Linked DNA regions of Caenorhabditis elegans. The protein of the gene in region 2 binds, or shares a complex with, the protein of the main gene of each other region. Each region holds a gene or a part of one and is shown on either strand. Other genes may lie near its edges. The genes, in order: exos-2 and crn-5.

Region 1 (4,315 bases), on a different chromosome or scaffold from region 2:
CCGGTTAAGAAGTTCTAACATTGTATTTTCCATGATTCTATATCAGGAGCTGTTTTCCCATTATTAATCCATAATATGATCGAAAGTTATTCACCATCGAGAATTAGAAGTTCGAATTAACTTCACATTGTTTTCTATGAAACGTTCATCCGATCCTCGTTTACCATTCGATCCTTTGTTATATTTTCCCATTTTTACTGTGCCCAACACCTCATATGCATCCTTTTAGGTTAGAAGTCTGCTAATTAGCAGCATAATTTTTGAGCTTTCACTGAATGTCTGTCCCATGCCTGCTCTCTCTTTTCCTTTTTGTTGTTTTCCTCTGGTCAATGTTTCAATTCTTCCTGGTTTTTTTTGAATCACAATAAACACTTTCCAGAAAATCGTCTCGATTCTCACTTGGTGGATTGAAAAGCGGATAGTGTGAATCGAAGTATATTCACTGAAATTGTTCGGTCATTAAGTTAGAATGTGGAGTTCAATTGAAACAATTCCTAGATCAAAAAAATTTCTGTGCGACCTTGGGTTTGCAAAGATTACGGGTCGATCGTTTAATTTCAGGGTATGGACCATTTCTTTCGAAACTTTCAGATTTTGTATCGCAGCTAATATCATCCGAAAAAGTAAAAAGTTTTATTTAATTGAAATGGTAAATAAGAAACTCAACAAGAAATAACAGCAACAAAAAAGGTAAATTTTAAATAGGGAGAGATCATTCAAAACAATTAGAATTACTTCTGCTGTTGAAGTTCCTGTAGAAGCCGTGCAGCAATCAGGTAGGCGAGTCGAGAAGACGTGTCTTGCTCGGCGAGCTCTTTGATCTGAAATTATTTTTCTAATTTTTTAAAACTGAAGAAACAATCGATACTTCATAAGGCTGACTCATTTCATAGCATGTTGTCAGTGAATTGAGGTAGATCGAGATGGAATAATCACGAAGAAGACGAACACAGGCAGCGATTCTGACCATAGTTACGCGTACGTCGGGAGGTACAATCTGAAATTTATTTTATTGCGAAAAAAGCCAAATTTTTTTGTTTTTCTTTTCGATTATGATGATCACGAGTATGATGAATAAATTATAAGGTCTCGTCAATCATTGGAATTATTATAATTTCTCGTTGTTGAGTCACCAAATATGTGCGCTAATTGTTATTTTCGATTCATTTTTCTCAAGAATCACTATCACACCTGAAACTCGTGAACATGTGATCCATCCTCTTCAAGTGTGGTCTCCGGCAACGACGGCGTGACCCACACACTTCCGTTGCAGCCAATAATCACAGCCATTCCGTAGGGTAACGTGTGAAAATGTTTCTTGGACTTTTTGATCAAATGTGGAGGAACCTGCAAAAAAAAGAAATTAATTCCGTGACTTCCCACTCATTTTGTGGATTTTTTTGTCGCTTTATTTATTTTGGCAGCATAAACAAAAAAGAAATATTGCTTTGAACGAGATGTCGCATAAGAATGAGAAAACTCAACACTTTGAAAAGGCGGAGGATATTCGTACAAAAGTGCTCGATTCAATGATCTACCGACTCGATGAACGTGCAAATATGGTTATCACGGAGGTTAGCTTTTCATTAATTTTTTTTGAAATAGAAAATTATTATTAAAGAGCCCAATTCCCGAATGGCGTGCTTATACACAATGGATTCTCATTGCTGCGTTGCTTGTAATTTTTTGTATTCTTCGTTATGGCGTCGAGACTGTTGAACTGCATCCAACTGCAAAGAAGGATCAAGATCCTGTGATTGAGTACAGAGATCGAGAATTGAATAAAACTTCTGAGGCTTTTAGAGCAAGACGCCGTACGTGAGCTAATTGGAATCAATTGGATGATGAATTTAAAGAAATATAACAACTTTCCGAACTATTATTTAAAAATTTATAATTGCGTTTTCTTAAGATTTTATAAAATATTACCTTAATCAATATTCCTTGTTGCAATTTTCCGTACTTATTATTTCTTGTGTGTAGCATAAGTGTTCCGTCGTGCTGGACTTGTTGGACTTCTGCACAGATCAGTTCTCCGTTTTTCAAGAATTCGCTCATTTTCTCCTCATCTTCTACATCTTTTCTGCGAAAGTCTCCTCCTGGCAGGAGAACTGAACCTAGTGGAAGATTTGCATGAAGACGAGATGCCACATCACACTGAAAAACAATTATCGTTATATTTTTCACTTAAAAATTTGAAACCTTCCACCGTTTTGCTTGAACCTCCACGACACGGGCAACTACAACATCTCCGACTTCACCAGCATATCGTTGTTTAATAGTTTTAACCATCAACAGTCGATTTAATTGTTGAACGACTCCAGAGAGAGAACTGACGATTTCTCCGTCGCGAACGTAAGTTCCATGTCCTCTGAAAATCTTAATTTTTTCATTTTTCAAAAAGATATAACAGTATTTTACAATATACATACCTCATAAACTGTTGCGGTGCATCACAAACTGAATGTCCTGGAATAACAATTTTTGTCTCATCAATATCATTTCTTGCTTCGGACATTGATAACATCATCCATGGTGATACGAGGGGTGGACCGGTGACTTCGAAACTCATTTTTTAAATTTTTTTTGTCTGCAAATAACCAAATTTAAATAAACTTAAATTAAACAAAGAAACTGAAAAAAGCTTTCATTCGAAATGAAAATAAAAATAATTATTTCCAACGACACTCCGAAATGACGGAAAGCGTGCTGTTTATCGTAAACCCACACGTCACTCAATTGGCGCCTATTCAAATGTTGATTTTCGACCATAAAAGTGCGAGCCAATTGAGCGTGCAAATTTAATTGTTTCTGCTAAACCAATGACGATGAAAACCCGAAATTGAAATAAAAATAAGGTTCGACACGAAGCCATTGTCTGACTTTTTATAAAGGTGTCATTGGAAGGAAGTGTGAGTTGAATGGGACACCTATAATTTCGACTTGCATGCGAACGGGAAAAATACAACAAAAGAGGATACGTAGAAATATATTGGAGAAAAACTGAGTATTTAAAACAGAAGTAAAAATCGTAAAGGAAAAATTTTCAAAACTTTGGTGGTTTATTGTGCGATTTTTAAATATTTCCTAGATTCCGATTTTGCGGGTTTATGTACTCTTTTTTATTTAGGTTGACTGTAAAAGTATTCTTCTCCATCTAAAAATTAAAAAAAAAACATTTTCAGACGGTAGACGGTCATGTGGAACTCTTAGAAAAAAGTTTTGAAATTTTGAAAAAATTGAAAAAAAATCAATGTTTCTGAAAAAACATTTATAAAGTTACCATTTTCTGATTAACAATGTTCGAATTTTCGAATTGGTATTTCTTATTTTGATTGAGAGTTTTATGAGAAGTATTGAAACATATTTTTGATATTATTCTTAAATTTCGTTAAAAGTTATTAAAAATGCATATGTACCCGGAATATTGTAATTGAGCCAGTATTTGAACAACTTCTCAAGAACTTCAACTAAACATTCGGTTAATTTCAGGAAAATCAATATTATTTCTTCTGTTCTATTCATATTTCAGATTGAAATCTTTCACAGAACAGTGCAAATTTCCTAAAAAGAATGTGTCGCAAAAGAAAGGTCCACATATTTTTCTAGCAGTTGTACACTTGCTCCATATTCGAAGCTCATTTTTTATTTTTTGTTTTATATCAAAAATTGTTAACTGACAACTAATTGACTATTTACTTTTCTAAAATTTCCCATAAAAATAGTAGTAGGAGTCTTACAAAAGCTCCCAGAAAAATTTGTAAAAAATCGAAAAAAAAAAACACTGTTTCTGATACACTATTTACAAAATTGTGGTTCATCGAAAACAATGTTTTCAAAATATTGTATCTAATACATCGAGGCATTGATTAATTTTAGAAGTTATAACTTGGTTGTCTTTAAATTTTTGAACAACTGTCAACTGGCAACTTATTGATTATTTAATTTTCTAAAATTTATCAATTTTACAGTTTGTAAACTGTTTTGAATGAATTGAGATATGAGCTGTTAAAGTATGATAGTCAGGTGCAAGTACTTATTTATTTTGTCATTTCATTTTTTCGTAGTTTTAAAATCGCTAACCAATGTCTAGAAAACTTTATACAAAATTATCCATAATTTGCATTATCAGAGCCCTTAATTTCCCACAAAAATTCGGCGAAAAATGTGGGTGGACGGACGGGTGTTTTTCGATGACAAATGGACAGATCAAAAGCTTTCATTAATTATTTGAATATACTTCTTTTCACTCATCTTCCGTCATTTTCACACGCCTACCGTACTCCTCCATTGACTTCGCAAATCGCGGCGAATT
Region 2 (3,648 bases):
CCATCAAGTTCCGACCACCAGGTTCGATTTTTGTACTAAAATTTCTCGTAAAACCTCTTTTTTCAGGAATGTCAGTAATTTGGTTCACAATTGGATGCTCCATCGTCTTCGATATTTGCACAATTGCAGTACTTCTCAAGGAGTACGATATCTCAATAATGGCGATTCGAATGCTACCGTATGCAGCAATTGTAAGTTCGGGCATCGATGGGGCACACGTGAAACTACACGGAAATTTGAATTTCTAGGAATGTATTGGATCGATTCTTGCAATTATTTGCTATGTTATCTCCATGGCAATATCGATTAGTAGTGAAGAAGTGACTGATGATTTCGGATTTTTGGTGGTCGCAATTTTTTGTTTTATTATTGCACTCATCCACGTGTTCAATCTGGTTGTAAATGTTCGAAGATGGAATAATGGATCACATCATTTGAGTGAGATTTTTTTTCTTATTTTGAAAATTCACCATTTTTATTTCAGATCCGGCTGGAGTCTACGAATATTCAAATTATGGATCTGAAGCTTAACCTATTCTTAAATACCTAAATACCTTCTCTTGTCACATTTCTACAAAAACTTCGACTTTGAAATTTAAGATTTTAATATCTCACAAAACAATGGATTCAAAATTAAATAAAAAATTAAAATCAACAACGACAACAACAAAACATTGATAATCTATTGCTCATCAACCGAAAGCTTCCTCTTCATCACAGTTTTGTAGAAATCAAAAATAGCACTGGCAGATGGTTGTGCCAATGACCACGCGGCTTCCAGCTGAATAAAATCCCAATGTCCTATAGCGTCCATCGCACACACTTCTGGATGTCCATCGGATCCTTTGCACACTGAAAAGAGCACTCTTCCAGTCGATGCAGCTTCTTGTTTTGCTGTCGGATCAATAATCAGCTCATCTTTGACACGAACAATAAGGACACCACAGAAGACTGTTCTGAAAAATTATATTACAGTTTTAAAACAGTATCTAAAAAAACTTACTCGAATGGCATTCCATTGTCAAGTAGAGCAAAACAAGCTCCATTTATCGCTACAGCTCCCATACTTCCATCATCCTGAATTCCATGTACTGTGACAGAAATTGTTGTGTGGGGAAACAATTCGAGATTGATTGCATTGGATAGAGTAGAATGAATGATATTGTTCAGCTGAAAAAAGAATTATTCCAAAAGTAATTTCTACAAAAACCCCTACCACATTGAACTTGTTATCTCCACAATTTGCTCTATAACTAATATCCAGAGTCATAGCCTCATCACTTGCTTTCGAAGCGTGAACATCTCCAGGACCACTGCATGAAGCCCAAATACACGTGGCACCCTGGGAGAAGCATGCCGAGCCATCCGCGTTTTTGAGGAACGAGAGCTCACAACGCATTTCACGAAGTCTGCCGGCCATTTGGGGATATCTGAAATCAAAATTAATCACAAAAATGAATTTTGTAGAAAATATAACTGAAATTGGTGGAAAACCAAATTGAATTAAAAATAAATAAATAAAAAGATTTCAAAAACAGTTTTCTTTAATTTCAAAGCAAAAGAAAAAGCACAACAACAAAAAGTAAAATAACAATGGTAATGGGATGGGATGTAACAATTTAATCATTTTTTGTAGTTGATGGTTCCTTGTCGATTCGATGATTTTTTCATAGCCATATTCTTCTTTGTCTTGTTCTTCAATCGATATTTTTGATGGAATGGATCGAAATCGGCGTTGTTGTCTCGAACAGGTTTTTCTGGAAATAATTTATTAGGAATTTGATTTCGAGACTTTTTTGAGAGCTATATAATTGGGTACGGTATTATCCAAATTTTGAGCCAGAAAACGTTTTTTTTTTGCAAATTTGCGGTTCTTTTTGGAATTTAACGAAAAATTGATTTTTTGGTGTTTTTTTTTGGTATTTTGAATTTTTTTTTTTGGGTTTTTTAATAGCTTTTATTGGCACTTCGACGAATAACATTGATTTTTTTTTGGGTTTTTTTGTTGGAATTCAACAAAAATTGAAATATTTCTTGTATTTTGACGAAAAATTGATTTTTTTGTTTTTTTTTTCAGACCAACAAAAATATTTTTTGAAAAACCAATACATTTTCACATATTCACGATTTTTTTGAAAAATAAATTCAAGCATCAACTTTTTTTGGTTTTTGTTCGTTTTTCGCAAATTCGTAAATTTCAATTTTGGTTTTTTGTTCAAAAATATTTTTTGTCCCAGCCCTGGTGTGCTCCTTTAAAGAGTACTGTAATTTCAAACTTTTGTTGCTGCGGAATTTTTTTTAGTTTTAAATTTATTTATTAAAAAACTAAAATAAAACCGAAGAAAATTTCCCAGTAACGAAAATTTGAAACTACAGTACTCTTCAAAGGCGCACACCATTTTGCAAGTTGTCGCGACCTGGTACCGTATTTTTAGCCTTAAATCTCGCGTCTGGATAATTCAAAGGAATATAACTTACCAAATGCACTACTATCAGCTTTTTCATAATCAAAATCTTCAACGGGAGCATCATCATCAGATTTTTTCTTTTTTGGATCTGAACTACTCGACGACTCGCCGAGCACAACAGAAACATCTATATTTCGTCGAGCAGCATCTCTCTTTCTTTTCATTGCCTTCTTTGACAGTAGCTGGTCGTCGGTAAAACGAGATGGATCGAAGATTTGAGGTTCCGATGAAGATTCTTCCATTGGTGAAGGTTCTGGATCTTTCGGCTTGTTCGGATCATCTGGGACCAGCTTCAGTGTATCAACGTTTAGAAGCTGAAAATTATCTTATTAAAACCAAGGATGTCATCGGAATTTTTAAATATATTTTTTTTCATTTATTTTTTTTTTGAGAAAATCGAAAAAAAAGAAGTTTTATTTTCTGATTTTTTCAGAGAAAATCGAAAAAAAATTCATTTTTATTTATTTTTTCAGAGAAAATTAAAAAAAGATTTTAGTGATTTTTTCAGATAATTTTTTTTTAAAGTTTTTTTACTAAATTTTTTTCAGAGAAAATCGAAAAAAAAAAATTTTCTATCAAATCTGTACGTTTTTCCGCCGAAAATTTTTTTTTAAGAATAAAGCAATCTCTGAATTCCGTATGAGCAATACCGATTTTGGAATTTTCTTTTCAGACATTTTTTTTCGGTTTTTCCCAAAAAAAAAAACGATTTTTTTCAGATTTCATTATATCTACCAACCTTCGCATCGAATTCAGGTTTTCTATTAATCGGAGCATCATGATGTGAGAACATAGTCTTCGGTAGATCACCTTCCTCCAATTTCTTTCTCTCAGCCTCTTTTCTCTCTTCTTCTTCTTGCTTTTCTTTTGTAATCATCATCATTTGATAACATTCAAATGGAGTTACAAATTTGTCAAGTTCATTCAACAACTTTTTAACTTTCTGATTATCCGATTTCTTTCCTTTTTCCACAACAATCATAGTTTCCACACTTGGAATTTCAGCCGTTTGGAGCACTGATAACAATGATTCTTTATGATCTTTCAGCTCGATATCCATTCCTTCATCTGTCTTATCAATATAAATTTCTCCGCGTTCTTCGTCAAATCTAGTGTGTGAAAAGTCGATTTTTGATTTTAAAACTGAAGTGATATGATCCATAGTATCGTTCATTACACC

The links.
Region 1: crn-5 (region 2) and exos-2 share a complex: the UniProt entries of both Caenorhabditis elegans proteins name them as parts of the RNA exosome complex.

Annotation. Positions count from the first base shown.
Region 1 is NC_003282.8:6,413,760-6,418,074, reverse strand, and holds exos-2 (Exosome complex component RRP4 homolog), read right to left. Parts: upstream 2,598-4,315; 5' UTR 2,573-2,597; coding exon 2,433-2,572; intron 2,372-2,432; coding exon 2,203-2,371; intron 2,158-2,202; coding exon 1,930-2,157; exon of another isoform or gene 1,823-1,929; coding exon of another isoform or gene 1,622-1,822; intron 1,575-1,621; coding exon of another isoform or gene 1,458-1,574; exon of another isoform or gene 1,422-1,457; intron 1,348-1,421; coding exon 1,192-1,347; intron 998-1,191; coding exon 869-997; intron 822-868; coding exon 732-821; 3' UTR 615-731; downstream 1-614. Other genes in the region: Y73B6BL.22 (Nitrogen regulatory IIA protein), read left to right, coding at 1,458-1,574, 1,622-1,822. UniProt on the Caenorhabditis elegans protein: Non-catalytic component of the RNA exosome complex which has 3'->5' exoribonuclease activity and participates in a multitude of cellular RNA processing and degradation events. Involved in regulation of antisense ribosomal siRNA production.
Region 2 is NC_003280.10:10,590,534-10,594,181, reverse strand, and holds crn-5 (Exosome complex component RRP46 homolog), read right to left. Parts: upstream 1,431-3,648; 5' UTR 1,421-1,430; coding exon 1,217-1,420; intron 1,171-1,216; coding exon 1,004-1,170; intron 957-1,003; coding exon 683-956; 3' UTR 591-682; downstream 1-590. Other genes in the region: C14A4.6 (MARVEL domain-containing protein), read left to right, coding at 1-21, 67-191, 249-438, 485-531; crn-3 (Exosome complex component 10 homolog), read right to left, coding at 1,624-1,757, 2,479-2,782, 3,208-3,648. UniProt on the Caenorhabditis elegans protein: Non-catalytic component of the RNA exosome complex which has 3'->5' exoribonuclease activity and participates in a multitude of cellular RNA processing and degradation events. Involved in apoptotic DNA degradation.